2 linked regions of the Lepisosteus oculatus genome follow. The protein of the gene in region 1 interacts with the protein of each later gene in a biochemical or structural test. Links are inferred from orthologs where the notes say so. Each region holds a gene or a part of one and is shown in the gene's direction. Other genes may lie near its edges.

Region 1 (10,627 bases):
ATAGGGCATAGATGCAGTCTCATTGCTTGGAGAAAGCCGCTTGATCTTTTGGGTGATTTTAAGAATTGACACCTTATGTCAGTTAAGTGATGCTTAATAGATTTATACATGGTATAATCAGGAAGTGAAAGCTTTTGGTGATGGATGATTGGGGAAAATACTGCCCTGCTTAACTTTTAAAAGCAGGATTTTTTGGGGGTTTTTTTTCTGATGTGAGACTGCAGTCTTGCTACTTTTGGAACTGCTCCATTGCAGGCCTCGGAGAAGCTGGGGGAAACCGAGAAGCTGTGCCTGCTGGTGGAGGAACTGGGAGGGCTTGACAGAATAGAGCTGCTGCAGAACCACGAGAATGATTCTGTGTATCGAGCAGCACAGGCACTGATAGAGAAGTACTTTAATGAGGTAAGCCTGATCAAAAGCTACTGTACCTTCCTGCATTGCCCATAATTTCATTTTGTGTATATGTATGGCTTTTTTATTGGAGGTGCAGCATATTGAAAAGGGGAAGATAATTACTTTGTCCTTGGGGAGGGAGCAAGAGACCCTAACTGATACTCTTCATAATATACCTTTTGATTTTCCTTACTTTGCAAGGAAATGTAAGTAGAATTTTGCCTGAAATATCAAAACCTTTGTTCCAATGTAGCAGCTATTAAAGATGCTCCTAACAGGATTATTTTGAACCCCAAAAGCCAGCTTTATATTCTTCAAAGTCTGCAGAAGGATCCAACTGTACGTAACACCTGCCTTCTTAATGAGCGTGTGTGGTTTGCTCTGGAGAGAGGCAAGTCCTAACCCCAGACATGCTTAGTCCTTTTGTCTACTTGGAATGTAGTTATAATCCATACATGGATTACTGCATTGAATCAGCACATTTGGGTGATTTACACTATTTAAAGGATTGTTTACATGATCAGATTAATGAAAACTGTCTGAGACTAATCTTAGAAATGGAAAATGTCAAAACCTAAAAGACTACATATACAAAAATTGTATAGGGCTAAAAACTTAGTGGGTTCTAAATTATGGGTGTTATTCATCTCTACCAGTCATGCAAGGATGATTATAATTGGGTAACACTAGAGGGCTGTATAGAACATTGTGAAATGTTGACCTGTAGACTAAACCTTTCCTTCTGCCGTGACCCATTTCTCATCTTGTGAAAATCTTAAACCTAGGAGTCGGATGTGGAATGCCTGAAAACGGAAGCCACCAAAAGCAGTTACATTTTCCAGCCACAGGAGGTGGATAAAAAATTTAATTTCTGAACTTCACCCTTCAGAACCTTAAGCCCTTTTCCTCTTAAATGGCATTGGGGGTGAAAAAAAGGTGTAGAACAAGTTTTTTTTTTCTTTTTTACTCTCCATATCTTTGTATTGTGTGAATTATTGCATTCTAAGTAAATGGATAATAAAATATTTTTGAAATGCATGTTTAACAGTATCAAGTGTTTCTAAATCCTATCTTCTTGTCCACATGAAAACCTAGTATCCATCATGGCTCGCATAGTGGGCATGCTTCTTCCATGTTGTGGTTTTTCAGTAAAATGGATGACTGACTGTAGGTCTTTTAACTTGTAGACCTTGGCAAGACTTTGCTATTAAACACTAAGCTCTGTTAAATGGTAACATGGCTAAATGTCTTAATGCATAAATTAGTAAGGTATTAAAGTTTAAGTGTAACCATCCTGTTGAATTCCCAAAAAGTGATTTTCTGAGTTACATAGGCATGGAGTTAACTAGTAACCCAAATTCCACATCCTTTTATCGATGTGGAAAAGAAATGCAAAGTATTGCATTTGTATCCTCTGGGATCTGGTTTTCAGAATACTAACATTTCTGCATGATAGAAATCAGGTGAAATATGTGAAGCTATTTAAATCCCTCATAATGCAAGTTGTCTTAAAAAGAAGACTATGATATGCTTGAGAAATTTCTGGAAGTGAGAATTCTGGTTAAATAGTTGCATTTAGAGGTTGTATGATAGCTTCCACTTCGGCAAACTGGAATGTTCATCTTGCTCAATGGAAAGACTATCCTGGCTACCTATTAAAATGCAGACCTGAGAAAGCTTTCAAATTCCCAGTAAGACTTTGAGTAGCCTCACCTTCACATGTGGTACTGCAGGAAGTGTTTTACCATTCCTGATGTGTGGGATTACTTCCATGTCGCCTGATCTGAATTCTGTTTTAAGAGAAGCCCATTTTCCTTCCATGTGGATACCTGAAGGAATAAGCATAGATGACACCTAAGAATTTAAAGGTAGCAACTGAATTTTCACCTGACTCTCTTCAGGATCTATTCACACTCCGATTTTGATTTGAGGAACTCCAGAGTGACTCAAGTTACAAAGGTGTAATCTTGGAACACAGTCTGGCTTCTCTGCTCCAAATATACTGGTTGGGGGAAAAACTCTGTATCTCATCCAAATCCTCTGAACAAACAGAACCACTAGAGCAAATCAGACAGGATATTAAAGGGGGAGGGCTGGGATTAGATGGTGAGGGTGCTCTGGACTTTCTGCCAAAGGGACTACACGGACCTTCAAGATAATGGTTACCTCACTGAAAGGTGCTTGTCCAATCGGTACTAATTTGTCTAACATGGTAATGCAATTGGGGCTTTACTGTGAAGCTGTAAAATGGGTCACATGGTAATTCCAAATTATGGTTATGTAAATGTAATTACTAGAACAATAAGGGAGAAATGTTAGTTTGAAATAAGGTAAACATCCCCAGTGTTTTAAAGCACTTGCATTGATTAAAACTCTACATTCATGCAATATCTGATTAACAATGGGTCATACAATTAAAAATATTTCCCCTATATACAATTCTATAATGTGTGCTGACAGCCTGCATGTCTTTGGCAATAGTGCCACATATGGATCTCTTCCTCAAACCTCCTTGGTCCTCCTACTGTATACAATACAGCATACTATATATATGACTTGGATTGATTGTTGGGTAATCCAATCTCTTTACATTTTTTCTGTTTAACCTATTTCCAGTCCATTGTATTACTTTGGAATGCTCCTATATATCCATCTGTGTCATTAACTTGAGACTAATTTATGCTGTTTTTTTTTGTATTAGCTCAGATGTTTATGCAATGGAAACTACTTGATCTAGAACATGTACTGCTAAATGCTCACTGGTTTCAATGAGTTTTAAAATTGTATTGGTTCTGCAAAATCATATTCCTGTTATATATTTCATGTATCTTCTATATGTATGTTTTTGACAGATACAGTTGAATACATGTTGAATTGAATGACTGTGTTGCGAGTAAGTTATCTTGCTCAGTGAACATATGGTTAGAGTGTGTAGGTTTGCTTCTGCTCTGGCCTGGATTTGTAAATAAACAAGTAGACATCTATGGCCAGCTATGCAAATTTGTAAAATGCAGAAACCATGTGTTTAAGTATAGAGTATGCTTGATTACTCTTTTCCAATTGCGTTTGTAGCCTTGCAAATATAGTACTTGGGAGCATTTTGCAATTGGATATCAGAAAGATGTGCATTTTTGTTTTTCATTTTCCATGTGACCTAAATGTATACAATCTATTCTTTGCAACTCATTTGTAAATACTGAGGATGTGTGTTTTTTCATTCTGATCTATGTGCTTGTATAGTTCTTCCAATTAAATATTTTTCAAATATGGTTAATTTTGTGGAATGTGGTTCTCACGATTCCTAAAGAATGCAGTAATGTTTAAAACCTTGACCGGTGTTTGAACCACAGGCAGTATGGCAGTCAGAATCCTTGTTTGTCTTGTGGGGATTGTTTCCCTGTACATTTTGTCAGAGGAAGCCTTTGTTTCATTGATAGCTAATTCTTTGCAATCCACAATGAAGCTCAACCTGTTGATAAATAAAATGCCCTTAACTCTTTAGTTGCACATTTTTACATTTTAATTATGTAGGTCAAAGACGCCATTTTGTTCCTCTGTGGCTTTATGAATGTAGTAACTATCTGCAATGGCATGGTGTTTAGGATTCATGTCTTGCCAGCAAGACTCTTAAGTTTTATGGTGTAGCTTAAGGCGAGAATAAGGGAATGATTTACTATTGTTTAGAATTCTTTTTACGAAATTCCTTTTGAGCAGGTGCTTCATGGAGGAGATTCTCATTTCTCATTTAATCATGTTATGAGTCATGGAAGTGAAATAACTCATCAAGACTGACAAGTGATTGAGATCAGGCATTTAATTTAGTTTACTAAAATAATTCCATAAATTGAAGTGACGAGTAGCAGAAAAACCTTGATGTTCACATTATTTTGGTTTAACCAATAGATGAGCTTGACTGGAAAAAAATAAGTTGCAGTGTTTAGATTATGTAGGTGGTTATACCACAAAATTATCAATATAATTAGGAGAACACCTTTAAATTGATAGGGGAGCAGTCACTTAACTCATTTTTGCAGCCGAACTTTACATAAGATTCTTCCATGAAAGCTACTGCAAGACGCATCCCATAGAGCTACACTGAAACAGGCTACCAGCCAGCAACAATTAGCATGTAATGGGGATTCTACAAGTTGCCATGGTCTTGCACACTGTTGCAGATCGCTGGGCCTGGAGCAGTCCCACCAGGCAGGAACTGTAGTCGTCTTGTGTATTGCCCAAATTAAACTGGGTGCGTGCTTTCACAAAATCAAAAACTCACTGAAAGAACTACTGTACATCAGCATATGACCAGACTTTCTGCAGGCCGGATACCAAAGTTATGCGCCATTATAATTCTGTTTTTGGACAGGAAATGAGTCACAGTTATTTAAAAAGTTTCTTTACTGTAGGTGCACTCACATGCCCTTTCCCAACAGCTTGTAAAGAATGTTTTAGCCTGATGAGAACCTGCTTTGTGTCTGGTATCAATTAGCTGGAAGGTGGGTGCAAGTGATTTTATTTGACTTGAGAAAGAAACTTGGATATTTTTAAAAAAATATTTAAAAGAAATCCCCACTCAAAATTTTGTTTGCCAATATGGTGTGGAATATTATACTTTTACAAATGAGGATATGAATGTCTTTTTATGTTTTAAGACTTTTTCATTACATACAGGGGTTCACTTGTTTGTGGATTCAATACAATTATATAACAAATGCAGATGTCAAACTTTTTTAAAAAAAATCTTGTACTTGAGAATCTTATACTACACTAAGTACATTTTGATGTGGATGAAACATGGTTTTCAGTAAACTATTATTTCCTAAATCACATTATTCTTTAAGAGCTGGTTTACTCTTTGTGAATATTAAGATGCAAATCTATATTAAATAAAGCTATTTAAATTGACCTCTATATGTACTTTATGTAGTTAAATAAGTTTAATTGAAAAACGCTATGAAGCTGATCCCCGAAATAAATTAATGTATCATCATCTTGACATTAAATACGGCTGTCCTGCTGCATACAATTTGTAAATCCTTAAGGGCGTCGAATTTTCACAACAGCTGAGTCAATAGTATTTGGTAAAGATGTTTATGAGTGTACTGACGGGCAGGTTAAGGACGTTAAATACTTCTTAAAGAAATATTTGCATTACTCAATTATAACGGGTGCGTAACATTTTTTGGACTGTAGCGAATTTCAGTATATTAAATTCAATAATTCTTAATATATATATATATTTAAACAAAAGCATATTAGGGTATTTAGTATTTTAAACATCAAAACTAAGACTATTAAAATAATCCAAGCAGTCATCAAGAGTGGTATCACATTAAGAGAAAGTCGATCCAGGATGTCATACAGAACACACTTAATTTACAACACGTTAAAACGACTATAATTCATGTAACACAAATATTTCGGATGTCATTGTGTATGGGACGTTTCCATTTTGTACAGCACAAGACGTATTCTTGTACTAACTAAAAACATGAGACGTTTTGGAAATCTACTTATCGCCCTTTGAAATGGATTCTGGCGTGTTAACCAAAGTTAGGAAATTAATTTCCCCCATAATCCACACATGTAGCTATGCATTTTCCATATACTCCGAAATGTTGTAAAACGCCAATTTAAACGTATTGAGGCACACATCCCATTTCTGCACAAAGGTAGTTGCGTTCGTGTGAGTACGCCTACTTACTGTTAGGCATGGCATTGACATTGAGATTTTTACAATGCAAACACACCAAGCTTGGGGGGCGCCGCCTCTCTCTTAAGAAGTAGACGGACACGACCCCTTTCCTCGCTTTTCCTTTGTCATCCAGCCCCTGCCTCCCCCTGTCCCGAGCAGTCGGGACCGCTCTGACACCTCGACGCCACAGTCGTGTGCGTGCACGTCCCGCCGTGCTGCGCTGACGTCAGAACGCCTTTGAGCTCGAAAATGTTTAGGAGCGTTATGCGAGCTGGGAGCTTTGGGGGATTTTCCGAGAAGGAAATAATAAAAATATACCCTTGATAAGCCATTCTAGAAACACCGTTTTGGTGTATTTTGTTTTTCCCGACAGTCTAGCTTCGTGGTGAAGTTTTAATCTTAGGTCAGACCTAAGGGAAAGTTAGCTATTTCTTTTCCGGAGTGATGTCGAATCCTGGGACTCGGAGGAACGGGTCTAGCATCAAAATCCGACTGACAGGTAAGCAAAAACACCATTGTTGTTAGGGGTTTGTGTTGCAGTTTTGTCTTTTAAGTCCGGCACCTCCACTTTTAATGCCATACACCCTAGTTGTGGGTGAAGAAGCCGGGTGTTTTTCATTGGAAGCCTTTTGTGGGCAGACCCCTTGCTGCACCAACCGAGGTGAAATAGCCGTAGACCTGGTAATTTCTCTACCATTGGCGATGAACCAGGCTTGCTGGGATCTGCTGTTGACGAGGTTGGCCCACTTTTTTGTTTCCTGCGATTTGGCAGAATTCATTTGTACAATAAGGACTTGCAAACAAACGATCTGTGCACGGGATGTAGGTGCACACGGCCCAGGATCACATTTACATCGGCCTCTTACAAACCTTTTTTTTGTAACTTTTATGCATTTTTGCTGGACATCAGCATCAGTTGCATATCGTGAACACCTTGCATTTATGATCGTTTCCGCTTTAATGCTGTCATTTGCCTTTGCAATGTATTCTGCTGTCTGTAAATAAATGGAAGGGACACACTGTGCACAGGCGCACTCGGGCGGTGATGTCGCTTCCTTCCTGCCTGATTAGAGCGCCTGCTAACCCGTCTGTCCTTTTAATTTTCGAAGTGCTTGACTGATTTCGCTCCGGGGAGGAAGCTGCTCTGGCAGAGCCGGGATCGGAACCGGATCAGCCCTGCTGTGCAGAGCGGTGAATGATTTGCAGGACTAGTTCAAACTCGGAACTGCCGAGACGGAGGCAACAAGCTGACGCTCAGACCTGGCAGCCTGCTTTTGTGTGAAGTGTGTGTCTGCACTGTACATACATGTGTATGATCTAGGCCTGTCAGCTTTGCAGCCTGACTAAAACAGAGACCATGCCCATTCAGTTCCACTTAACAGAAATCTGTGGCCAAGTAAATCGGTCTTATTGTTCTCCAAATTAGATATATTCCCGATTGTCGGCGCATTTTTCCCCGAACGGATTACTAGGGCTGAGGTGCTGTAGAGAAGCTATGGTCAATGCACCAGTCTTCTGTTCCTGTGGGTCCGGAGGGTGTCAGCACTGTCTACTAGTACTGGAATCTGAATGGGGTTTAATCGCTGTTTTATGGGCCCTTCAGCTACAGTACATGTGAAAGACTCTTACAGACTACACTGCCGTTTTCCTCTACGTGGGTAGTTGCTACCATTGCTATGCAAACTGCGAAGCTTGCGGCCATGAACCCGAGATTCAGATTCTCATTATTATTTTAATTGTTTGTCTTTTAGAATCTGACAAAGTGCGTTAGAATTTTGTTACGGTCTGCGTGGAGTGTTAATGTGAGGCATGAAAAATCCCATAGGTTCATGTAGTGCACTCTTAACCCGGACAGACTTGGCCTGCAAACTGGGGCGTATTAGGGGCAAAAAAATGTTAATCGTAAAACCCAAAGCGTTTTATGGTTTAGCTTTGCTTGTCGGGTTGACTCTTTGTTTTCTGTCTAGATCCAGCGACAGGGGTGGAGAATGTAACTGTCCAGCTGATAACTTAAAAGTTCACGGGTATTGGGGCTGATGGAGCATTCATTTTGTTTGTCGTCATTTTATCTTTTGGTCACAAATATAGAACTGTCAGCCCATCTTGTACTTTAGCTTGAATTGTTTTGATGGCCGGTTTGTGATTGACAATGATGCAGTAAACTGGCTTTACAGTAAGAATCATGAAGTTGTTTCTCGAAGCAAAGTATAGGCTGTATTGTAGCCTCCTAATGTCACCATTACTTTGTCATATGAAAGATGAAAAACAAAAATGCTGTACTCGATCAAAGATATCCAAGTTAAGAAGTGTGTGTATTTCACCATTCACATTCACCATTCATCATTATACATTATTCATTTACACAGAAGACCATTGGTTGCTGTATAGGCCTAGAGCTTTCAGTCACACAGTACCTATGAAAGACATGGGTTGTTTCTGGATTATGTTGTACTGCAGCTTCTACTATAACCTCAATCAAACTTTCAGCAGAGCATTCAAGTTTCTAGTCGTTAGTACGTTACTGAAGCTATTTGTGTAAAGAGCTGTAAAAAGCGCCGTCTGTAAATTGATTTTTTAATTGCCGAAGTGGAGACAAAAACACCTTTGGAGAGTGACAACTTCGAATAAATTCTGAATTCCATTGTTCCCATACCCCTGTATGGAGAGAAGATAGTGTTATTTAATTTGTTTTAAGTATCTTTGACTTAGTCTAATAGGAAGAGGCTTTTATGTCTAGCTACAGTTACATTTTGATTTTACAATCTAAAATTAGATTAAATGATTCTTTGTCATAGTTTACCAGTGTTACACAGGGGCAACCTTTCATGGGGATGTTTATTTGTTTTTAAATCTTGCAATAATGTCATTTGAGTTTAGTAATAAGTAATTGGTTAAGTATTAAGTGCCCAAGCTGTTTGATAGAAATATTGTTCCCTCATCAGACCGTGGCTCTTGTTTCTTCAGCTGACCTTACAAGAGTTCATGGGTGAATAGTTCCTGAAATGGCTGTGATTTTGTTGTTGTTTTTGAGGAGCACAATGTGTGCCGGTCAATGGGAGGCAGATTGTGAAATTGCAAGGGCTGGAAAGATCCACACTATTTACAGTTACAGCCATTTCCATTCTTCAGTCTTCACGACGATTTGAAAATGGAAATTAAACGCTTTAATGAAAATTACTGAATAAAAGTAATCTCGGCTTTTTAATAGAGCGGTTTTTATTTCAGAAGTGTGTTAATGGTATGGACCTTGTGTGCCAGTTTTAATTAATTTTTGGTTCTTTGATTTTACAGGATTTAATAATCTTCATGTTGCAACTCTCAACTGTCTTGATGTAATGTGCAATAGCAACCAAAACAACAATCAACAGAGTGTATTAAAAAGGTACATTCAACAGCATTTAAAAGCTAGAGTATAAGAGCCAGGGTTTGAATGTGGTGAGGCAAGATTAGGTGACTTGGCTATGACTCTTTGGTAAGATCTCAAGGCAGTTGTAACATGTGAAATGTACAATAATTAACATCTATTAAATGTATTTTAAGTTTTAACGCATGGAAGAACTGTAAGATCTCAATGCTTTGCATGCATTATCGATTATTCTTCTGCTTTACTTTAGTTAGGCCACTCTTGAAATATTTTTTTCTTCTGAAATAAATTCTTAGTGATTCTTAACACATAGATGTTCTGTGGCTGTTTTGAGCAATGCTATTTTATTGTGTTGAAATATGCAGAATTCCTGTTCCTAGCAATGCAAACATCACACTTCATAAGTGTTGTAGGGATCTAGACTAATCCATCAGTTCCAGCTGTGTTCAACCCCCCCGAGCAGATGAAAGGAATTCTAATTGGCTGTGGAATGTCTGGAGTGTCATGTAACAATGAGCATGAAGCCATTACACTGGCTGCTGCAGTGTTTAGTCTCCCAGTTATTTTGCCTCATCAGTCCAGACCTTGTTCTGGGAAATGTTGCCCAGGAGGGTCGGTTTAGTCTGTTAGACTAAATGTTACAATACCCCTTGTTAAACCCCTAGATTCTGAACTGAACATTTACCGTACATTGAATTTTTTTGTAGCCTAGTCATTTTTAAGATTAACATTCTGCGGACAGCTTTTGTTCATCACTGTTAAGGAGTTATTTTGGGGGGAATGCAAATATCCAAGCATGAATTTGCTTCATATAGTCCAACTTTATTGTTGTGCTTTTTAATTATATACATCTGCATAACATAAAATTCGAAGGCAGGCTTGTAAGGGGTTTAAATTTAAATTTATGCATCGCATGGCCTGCAAGTAATGTTGCATTTAGCATTGTAAAAGCCTGTGCAAATGACTTCAATTACAGTCTTGCTGAAACTGCGAAAGGGAGTTTTTTAAGTGCTGAAATCCTTTTTTAAGAGCTAGGAATAATGCACACAGGAGGGATACAAAATTTAAGTTGCAGGGAGAAGGTTATAAAATATATCCTGATTTATGTGAGGGGATTCACAAGGGTCACACAGTTTGGTGTGATTTTTTTTTTTGTGCGCACCTTGAATTTTTTT
Region 2 (10,282 bases), on another chromosome or scaffold:
GACGTCCCACACAACGCGCCAGGAGACAGGACAGAAAGGTCAGTGGTCTGCTGTCAGAGCTGAGTGACCACAGAGGGGTGGGAGGAGAATTTGCGGGGGTTGGGATATTGCATAATTACAGAAGGCTCGTATAATCACTGACTGTTGTGACCACCCCTTGCTCAGTAAAAGGGTGTTGATTTTGACTACCCAAAATCCAGTGCAATAGCTTACCTTTCTATAGGTTATGATGGTTAGGTTAGAATGCGAGAGGTTATGTTTTATTCCCACTGGTTATCAACCTGCTCATCTGGATCAAGTAATAGATAAATATATTTTATTTTCATCACGGATGTATCTTATTATCCCACTCACTGATGAGCCAACTCCTTCATTCATCTATTTCTGGAGTCTGAGGACGATTCAAATTTCAGGTGTATGTTTCTTAGTTGTTCGTTTTAAACGTATCGGTGTGCGATGGTTTTTCACCTCCTTGCAAAAGCATATTTCGCATCTGGGGCAATACAGGGAGGACGTAACTTTGCATCTGGAGCCCTGCCCTTTTCGCAACTTGTTTGAGTTTCTTGCTCCGTATCCAGCTCGGCGTGATCTGCTCGTGCTGTTTGTGGAGCTGCAGCAGGGCTTAGTCTTACTGCTGCTGTTGGCACCTCTGCTATGCAGCTGGATATACCTGATGATATGTACAGTATGAAGGGTCAGGGTCTGGGATGTGATTAGGAATATTGCCACCCTGGTGAATGATAATGGTGTCTTGTGGTCAGGTCCTACGAGATGGGGGGCCAGCAGGGCCATTTGGCCCCGGGCCTCACCTCACAGGGGGGCCTCACCTCACCCAAGGGTGCGTGGTCCCCTAATTTATCACTTTGGCTGTGTGTCTCGAATTTGGGAATAATTGACAGCTGGCACGCAGGTAGGAGGCAGCCAAAGGCTCCCAGAGGAAGTCCCATCCCCTAAATGGCTCTGAATGGCTGAAAATAAAATGAGTGACAGCGTGTTTCACCAATCAGGCCAGCTTTTGTGAGGCGGCCAGATTCACCATTCAATTCCAATAGCCAAGACCTTTCCAGTTTCCTCCAGGTGTTTACATGTCATTCTTGACATTCAAATATTTCTGTACCCCTCTCCCCAAACCATGAGGGGGGCCTCACAATGTGAAATGGCCCCCGGGCTTCATCTGAACTCTCAGAGGGCCTGCCTGTAGTGTAAAACAACATAAGAAGAATTACAGTCATGGAGATGCCATTTATCCCAGTTAGCCTGATAGGCAGTCAACTCCCTTTTAATCCAGTAATCTCACCCAGCTGTTTCCAGGGCATCGGCTTCAACACCATAGCTGGGCAGCTCGTTCCTCACTCCCTCGGTCCTCAAAAGAAAGATGTGTTTTTTCAGCAATCGGTGAAGGCCGTTCCTTTAAACCCCAGATTGCCTCCTGTTAAGCTCGTCTGGACAGACTCCAGAGCAGCTACGTGTCTTCTCTAACCTGGTGACCTGCAACCTTTTGTAATAGAGGGCTTCCTGTTTTCAGTTCAGCATTCACTTCCCTCTAACGGCCTTCACTCTGCTTCGCTCTTGTGGGGCAGGAGGCTCTGAAGTGATCATCTGAGCGCCGGTGAACTGGCAGTCAGGTGGTTTCTTGCTTTTTGTAGGTCTCAAATGAGCATTTCGGTCTAAGAAAGAGTCGGGGCTTCTGACTTTATGCTTCACACGCTAGACAGGACACAAACCCTAACTCACAGAGCACGCTGAAATAAGAGTGAAGCCAAATGTGTTTCTCCTGTTCTTTGTTATTTGTGGTTTTGTGGTGCATCTCTGTGTTGTGTTTTCCATGTGCTCACTTCCTTTTTAATCTCATTTTAGTTACTCTGTAGCACAGAGCTACATCTGGATGGTTCCAGTTTTTGTACCTGTTTTTCAATTGTTTTGGCTGTCTCTGTGGACACATTTTATATCTTGCTTGCGAAACACAATGTCAGGGGGCCTGGAGGTCAGTGCTACGGTTTCAGGGCTCCTGGCTCCTGGGTTTGGTTGTGGTTTGGAGTACCTTCTGTGCTGGCATGGTTTTCTCTGTGGGTTCTGGTTTGCTGATGTCTCTAATTCGTTCCTTCGAGATCTAATTGATCAGACAGTATCAGCTGTTTCTTGAAGGATCCCATGCCATCAGCTGCAACAGCACGACATGGCCGGCTCGTTCCATGCTCCCACCACCCTTTGTGTAAGGACGTGCCATTTGGTCTCAGTCTTAAGGGCACGCTCCCGTAGTTTACACCTGTGTGCTATGGCTCGTGCTTCACCATGATTGTGAAAAAAAATGCATCGGAGTGATTTTGCCATTGTGAACTGTTGGTTCGAGTTTATCCACCCATGTTTTGAACTGCTCCAGTTCAGGGTCGCGGGGGAGCTGGAGTGAATCTCAGCAAGCAGTGGGTGCACCGCAGGGTACACCCGGGATGGGACGCCAGTCCAGCACCAGGGCAAACACACGCACACAGTCACACCAGGACCCAGAAACCAATGAGCCTGCCAGCATGTCTGTGGTCTGTGGGAGGAAACCCATGCGAACATCAGGAAAACATACAAACTCCACAGAAAGAGCACCCCGTAGTCATCGTGCTGCCCTGATTCCAGATCAATAGTTAATGAACAGTCATTGTAAGACATTCCTTTAGAACCTAGACTGTGCCTGTCATATGCTCCTCCTGGGACTGATTCATGAGCAGTCATATCTTCTTTGTAATGCAATAGTCAAAGTGATATGCAGTATACCAAATGAGCTCTCATGAATGCATTGTACAAAATGCAGCGTAACTTCCTCTGATCTAAGCACGCTTTTAACTCTGCCAGTAGTCAGACCTCTGGTTGCTTTGTTGTTTTGCTTCCCCATGTTGTGCAGAAGAGGGAAGGGAAAATCTTTTTTACCTGACAGACCGCCTCGTTCAAGATAGAAACATGTCCTGTCACGGGTCTGTTGTTTTCACCTACTGAAAAGAGCCACGGTTTGGCTTCCTGTGAGTCACGTTCTGCCCTTCGCACTGAAGAAAGCACTCCCGCACTTGGGAGAGAGAGAGAGAGGAATACCCGATCTGGGATGGCTTTTCCCACCTTTTCCAACGAAGGAAAATAACCGTTTCCTCTCTAGTTTCACTGGAGATGCATGAGCAGCTCCGAAACGGTTGTCTTTATTAAGACCCCCAGACCACGGGGAGGTAGGGCTCAGCAGCAGGCTAGCTTCCAGGGGGCTGATGCATTAGAATCCGCCTGGGGTCTGCGCACTGTGCTCCTCTCGGGGCCTGGCTCATTCGGATATCGATTATGCCATTAACCCCCTCCCCCAGACGCCCCGACAAGCTAATCGCGTCTGAGTGCAACAACAACAACAACAACAACAACATCTAAAGGGGAGCACGCACGCAGGATGTGTTATTCTCTTAATGGACAAACATTTTCACTGAGTGCAAGCCAGACCGCAAAGGCCTTTAATAGCTTTTGATCCAGGATACTGTGCAGCTCGGCCTGTGTCCCTTTTCAGTGTGTCCCCTATTACGCCACCGCCAAACACAGACGCACACGCGCTCACACAAAACACAGGTCTAAGCTGAAGCACGCCCGGCTTTTGGCGAAACTCATGGTGCTACTGCCCAGTGCTGCCCCCGTCGATTACAGGAGAAAGGTTTGTTGGGCTCTCCCTCTCCCTGTCTGGAAAAGTCCAAAACCGTCTGTGTTGTCGCGAACACGGCGGGCGGGTGGAATGATCTGTGTTTATCCCTCTCAGACCCCGCGCAGAAATAGAACCGGTGTTCCACCGAAACGCCTTTCGTTTCTGAAAATAGCCCGGCGGCGCTGTTTGTTTCCTGGATTGAGCCACACAGAGGGTGAACCAGCAGCCCGGAAAACAGCCTTCACGCAGGCTGAGGCGCATATGCCCGCGGGCCGGGGCCAGCCAGATTAAAATGAGCACCCCAGACTTGTTCCCTTTTTTCCCCAACACACCTGGGCAATCCTTCTCTGGGACGTTTGTCCGTGCCTGGATCAGCACAGGGCTGGTTCAGTCCCACTCTTGGAGTTTTTTTTAGTCTCTTGAATTCCCAAAACAAGCAGAGCTAATAAAGGGGGGGGAGGTTAAATAATTAATTTAAGATGATAATAATAATATTAATAATGCTGTGCCCAAATGGAGTCCGCCCCTCTCTTGACAATTCCCAGTGATGACCAAATCCGCAAAGCTTCCCCCTATGTGTTTGTATAGCGCCTTTCATCCCAAAGGGCTTTACATATAGAAGGGGGACCACCATCACTCACCTCTGGATGCAGCTCCCCAAGCAGATGCCCCCCAGGAGAGCAGACCTGATGGTAAAAGTGAGACAGAGGAAAATGTCGGCTGTGGTTCTGATTGAGGGCAGTGGCAGGGCACAGCGGTCGGCTCTGCCGCCTGACGTCCTGTGGTTCGATTCCTGGGGTGCTGTCTGTGTGGAGTTTGCATGTTCTCTGCGGGCTGGCATGGGTTTCCTCCCACAGGCCAAAGACACGCTGGTGGGTTAACTGGCTTATCGGTCAGTTCTGCTCTGTGTGAGTGTGTGCGTCTGATACCCTTGTGATGGACTGGTGTCCTGCCCATGTAGTACCCTGCCTTGCGCCCGTTGCTTGCTGGGAAAGGCTCCGGCTCCCCTGTGACCCTGAATTGGATGAATCTGGGTAGAAAATGGATGGCGGGATTAGATTGAGCATATACCCAAGGTGAAGTGAATAAATCAGCTTTATTTGCCCAGTACATTCCATGTACAACAAATCTCTGTCCTCTGGTGTGCTTGCTGCTGCAAAGACATTCGACATGTTCCATAGACGCTCAAGACAACAGACATCTTTAAGACAGGGGACATTTCACTGGGAATGCTGGACGCACACAAGGACAGCCCTAGGAAAGAGGCTGATCAGATTCGAGGTGGTTCTGGGTTCGACGGACCGGTACTGTCTTCCTGACGGAGGTTTTTTGAAACAGGTGGTCACCTGGGTGGGGGAGGGTCATCAGCAATCTTGCCTGTCTCTGCTCTGGACTCCCGTACAGGCGGAGACGGGCAGGCCACAGGCAGGGACCTGCGCCGTTTGCCTCACCTCGCCAATCAGTCACAGAGGCCGGGCAGAAGTCCCTCAGTAATGGCTCTGTGAAACTGTATCAGAAATAGTGGAGAGACAACACCGTTTTTCAGCTGCAGCAAGAAAAAAGTACACGCTCTGCTGTGCTTTCTTCGTGATATCGGCGATATTCATTTCCCACTTAAGGGAATTCGAGATCACAAAGGGCTCCTTCACACTCACCGCCTCGTCATAGATTAACAGGGAGAGAGGGTCCGGGAAGCGCCTCCGGAAATCAACCACCACTTCCATGGTACTTTGTTGATTTCCTGTGCTTCAGGGCACTTTTATCAGGGCGATTTGTTCGTATCTTAATTTACCACAATCCTCTACCATGTTTTTACGCTACAGTGTTGTGCTTAGTGACCACAGTGTCACAGTGACGTCTTCAAAGTTTAGAGAGGTTTATTAGGAACCATAGTGGACAGAGTAAGAGAGTTTGCGTGAGGTGGAGGGGCGACAGTTGAGTGCCAGCTCAGGCATGCCAGGGCATGTATTTCAACACTTCAACGCGCCCAGTTAAGTTTAACAAACAGGATAGAGGCTGTAAAATACACAGCAACCACAAACCCTCTCTTCCAGCTCAGCTCGACCGCGATCGTCGCTGTTCGGATATGTGTGCGCGCAAAGATAGCGGGATAAAAATAAAACGAAACTTGACGCGATTTCTGAGACGTCTTCGTCCAACACACACACACTCTCCCCCCTGCTTCGTCCTCAGCCGTGTGTGACCACACACGCGTTTCCTCGGCTCCTGCGCCTCCGGAGCGCTCTGCCTTGCCGGTGACATCACGCGTTGACGTCGCCGAGCTATAGATGGAGCTGTGGAGCGCGGCAGCGGGAGACCCCGGCTGCGAGCGGCTTGTTGATATTCCCAATGACCTGCCTGCGCTTCCCAGAGAAGAGGGCAAAGCCGGGGAGCGTGGTGATGATCCGGCCTCCGCCAGCGTAACCGGAGACCCCCGGGGCGAGACTCGGAGAGCGCGGCGGCGCGGCGGCGGCGAGAGGAGAGAGGCGGAGGACTGGGGAGGCAACCGGAGGCTGTAGCTCCAGGCGAGGGGGAGAGCGACGAGCGAGATCGGGGAGGAGTGGTGGTGGTGGTGGTGGGGGGGGAGAACCCCCATAACACAGTTTCTGCTCCTGTGAGAGAACACCCCCCTTCCCCTTCTCTCTCCATCAGAGGAATCGCCGCTTACAAATAACACCCCGAGTCCGCGGGGTGGAAACTCCGGAGGCACCGCCGCCAGAGACGCACAGACCTCCAGAAATGAAGAAGAGCGCTTCGGCGAAGCGGGTGAGCTTCTCCTCCACACTGCCGTGCCCCGTTTCTCTTTCATCCCCATCCCCTCCGACGCTATGACCCCCGTTTTCCGAGTGTGTGTGTGTGTGAGTGAGGCGGTGTTGGGGGACAAATCCTGCAAAATGTGCGTGTGTGTGTGTGTTTGGGACGGACGGACGAAATGGTGATGTCAGCGAATTCTGTGGACGCGGCGAGGAAGGATCCTGGAGGAGTCCGAGCGTGTGCTACTTGATACGGGCTATTATCGTGACACATTGTCTGTGTCTGAACTGATCTGCGTGTCGGCGGGCATCTGACTGGAGATGCCGCCTTGGGTTTCAGCTTGCGGGGACGTGCCCAGTGTGCCCCGGCATTTCGCGTTTATTAAACCGACTTGGTCCACAGCGCTGAAGTGATGTTCCGCTGCCTGTAGTTTCCGAGCGGGATAGGCTGGGCTGGGGGGTGCTCCTCTCGCTGTGCGCTGAAGGGAGACACTGGGGGGGGGAGAGGGGGGTGTGGACGCGTTAATGGGGGGGGGTTTGCTGTGTCTGAGAGCCCCGGAAACACCGTAGCCCCCTCTTTCCCGTGGGTCTAATCCCGCACTCGTGAGAAGTGCGAGTGGCATTCCCCGCTCCAGGTCACGGGCACGGTTTTAATCAGAGGCGGCGAGGTGCCGGAGCCAGGAATCTCGCATCGTCTGCATGACAAAAGAACTGAGATGCCCGTGTCAACTCTGCCTTTTTGTCTTCGTCATGCGGGCTCCTTTGAATCTTAATGAGGGGCTCGGGTCTACTTCCGCGTCCGTCCGTCTGTCTGTCACTCAGGCGGTGGGCTGGCCAGCGAGTCGGCTAGTCCTCTCCGGGTGTCTCGGCGCAGTCCGGCCGCCCGTGGCTTCGCCTCTTCGCCTGCCAGCTGATTGTGTTTTGCGATGCAGGGGCCTCCGGACGCCAACCAGCCGCCCTCGCAGCCGGAGAAAATCGGCTGGATCCGCAAGTTCTGCGGCCGGGGGATCTTCCGGGAGATCTGGAGGAACCGTTACGTGGTGCTGAAAGGCGACCAGCTCTACATCTCCGAGAAAGAGGTAAAAAGTGTCTGTTTTACCTGTCATGACCCGTTTCGACCCGTCCAAGAGGCAATTAAAAAACAACAACAACAACAACACGTTTTGTAAACTGTTGTTGACCCGCGTGTTCGGAGACAGTCGGCTCTTTTCATATTCCAGTCATCAGGCTGTGTATTATTTGGCCCGCGGCAATACGGTTTTAAATTACTCCTTCAGATATAGATGCTTTGCTAGTTTAAAATGAGTTTCAGTGACTCAGAGGTCAGGCTGTGAAGAACGATCATCCGTTTTCTCTGAGTGAACCATGGTGGTTTGCGTTGAGTCTAACTGTTGTATAATTCTGGAAAGCCCTGTGTGGCAAACTCGAGCCAAAGGGCATCACAGCGCATACAGGACGGGTTAGAAATGAGTGCAGTGCGTTTGGACGCTATCTCTGTCGTAGAACCCATGTCCGGAATGGTAAAAGCTGCTATAGCTAAATTGCAATTTCCTACTCTTCCTGCGCCTTTACTACAGAAGACGTCTGGGAAAAAAACGGTGATGTTCAGAGCTCGTTCCTGGTGGGATTTTCACCCCCTAATCGGACGTTTAAGACCAAGAAGTCCCAAGTTTTCTAAGTTTTTGAGCTGCGTCCTTGTCATTGCACTTCTGCAGGTGCTAAGCAGCCCCTGTGTTAGAGTCTACAGACAGTCGCGACAGCTCGGCTGTGATGCTAACTAGCAGCCTGGCACCCCAGCAGTCCCCGTTCTGACCAGTTCCTGACCCAGCGCTTGGCACAACACCATCTGCCCGGGCCCCGGGAGAGAACGGACACTTCGGCACTTTGGGGGCCCCGTGGAGTTCAGGAAAGACGGGTGCAGACCGAGTCCGAGGAAAGGGAGTCATTGATCCGCGTTACGTGTGGGAGACCCGTGTGACAGCGGTGATGGTTTAGTGATTCCACGGCAGAACGGGCACCTGGGTGATCCAGGAACGCAGAAAAGGTGGAGGCGGGCTTTTGGGAGAATTGCACCTTGCAGATTCAGCTCTGGGAGTGCCAGCAGTTATTTTTATTTTCAGCTGTGCTGGCGATCAGAGCTCGAGTCAGTAAATTGTCAGCAATACTGAGGGCTTATGATGTCCATCAGCCAAACCCAAGCGTGCCCCCACTCGCCCAGCACGGGCCAACCATGCACTAACCCTGGGTGGGTTTTCATGTTCCCCTGTGTGCCGGAGCTGCAGGAGGAGAGGGCTGGGCGTCATCTCCGTAGCTAGCCCTGGATTCCTCTGGGGGAAACGGACTCTGCTGCCCCCCCACCCCCCCGAGCTAACTCCAGCCTGCCTGTGCAAAGAACCAGCTCCTCGTTTCTTGAATTCGTTGAATTTTAATTTGCTGTAACTGCTCCTCAGCACTGTCAGCAGGCCAGCCAAGGCTCACGATTAGGGCTGGCGCGGAGTTCACGTGTCAGGCCACTCTGCCCTTCAGTTTCAGTGAACACCGTTGCTCAGTTTAGCACCACAGTCTTTCAAAGGCTGCATTTTGGCTTCCTTTTGTAGGCATGAGTCATGCTCACAAGCAGTAGGATGGTCTTTTTGCAGTGCTGCCCTGCTTGTCTGTTGCCCTTTCTTTCGCGTTATGTGTACTTTTGGGCAAAACATCAGACATCCATCCATTTTCTAAACACTTTATCCGATTCAGGATCACAGGGTAGTTAGAGCCTATCCCAGCATGCAATGGGCGGAAGGCAGGCTACACCCCGGACGGGACGCCAGTCTATCTCAGGGCAGACACGGACACAAACACACAGACACGCTCACGCGAGGGCCAGTCCTCCCCGAAGCCGATTCATCTACCAGGATGTTTTAGGACTGTAGGTGAAAACCGCGGCACCTGGAGAACATGCAAACTCCATACAGACAGTACTCCAGACATTGAGCCCAGGGCCAGCAATGCTAACCACTGCGCCACTGTGCCACTCAGCAAAACCATCAAACAAGAATTAAGCGGCCCCCTAAACTAAAGAGGCCCTGCACACAGGTGAAGACACTCGATTTGATTCTGAGGAGTTCCTGGCCTCTTCAGTGTCTGGGGCCGCAGTGAGAGAACAGGACGCGCTGCTGAGGCCGGTCGTCTGAGGCCTGTGTCTCCTGGCGGCGTGTCGGCCACGCTGGGGCAGTTCCACTGCTCGAGGAAGTCAAGTTCGCGATTTAGTGGTGAGGAAACGTCTCTGTAGAGGCTAGCTCTAAACACCCCCCTTTCAGACCGCTACCAGACACAGCTGCTTTTTTGGGTGGGGTCTGTGCCTCAGCGAGGTGGAGCTCTTCAGAGCAAAACCCGGCCCTTCTTCCTGTCTCTCCGTCGTGTTTTCGAGCTGATAAAGCCTGTTGCTCATAAGGGGCTCGTGTGGAGCCTGTCCAGACTGAACAATTGAAACGGGCTCAATGACCCGATATTCCACCTTTCCTTCAACTGTTCACTGCCTGTGGTTTTTATCAAACCCCGATCAATACAAACGAGCTTCTTTTTGGGGGAGAAATCGGAGTGAATGTGAACCTGCCCACTTTTCGTTTGTGGTAGATCTGCTGGATGCCTGAGAATTGCAGGCCAGTGCGACTTCCTGGTAATTAGTTTTCCATTACTGATTTATTTTTGTAATGATCTTGGAGTCATGTTAATTAGTCTGGAAGCAAATATGCAGTATGGATGGAGATATGAAAGCTCTGTTGCAGTGGAAATGGCTCTGTTCCCACCAACATGTTTCTTGTGCTCCTGTTTGCACATTTTCTAGGTTGGCTTGCACGTGCAGGCTACAGAACCAGTTTTAAAACTTCTG

What was found. The genes of interacting proteins can lie anywhere in the genome.
Region 2: the proteins of smurf1 (region 1) and plekho1b form a complex in vitro, tested with the Homo sapiens proteins (4 studies listed by BioGRID and IntAct). The link is inferred for Lepisosteus oculatus from reciprocal best matches to the Homo sapiens genes SMURF1 and PLEKHO1.

Annotation. Positions count from the first base shown.
Region 1 is NC_090714.1:10,265,783-10,276,409, forward strand, and holds the start of smurf1 (E3 ubiquitin-protein ligase SMURF1), read left to right. Parts: upstream 1-6,307; 5' UTR 6,308-6,532; coding exon 6,533-6,587; intron 6,588-10,627. Other genes in the region: kpna7 (importin subunit alpha-8), read left to right, coding at 256-402, 1,179-1,268. UniProt on the Homo sapiens protein: E3 ubiquitin-protein ligase that acts as a negative regulator of BMP signaling pathway. Mediates ubiquitination and degradation of SMAD1 and SMAD5, 2 receptor-regulated SMADs specific for the BMP pathway.
Region 2 is NC_090722.1:3,807,795-3,818,076, reverse strand, and holds the start of plekho1b (pleckstrin homology domain-containing family O member 1b), read left to right. Parts: upstream 1-5,834; 5' UTR 5,835-6,394; coding exon 6,395-6,421; intron 6,422-7,340; coding exon 7,341-7,487; intron 7,488-10,282. UniProt on the Homo sapiens protein: Plays a role in the regulation of the actin cytoskeleton through its interactions with actin capping protein (CP).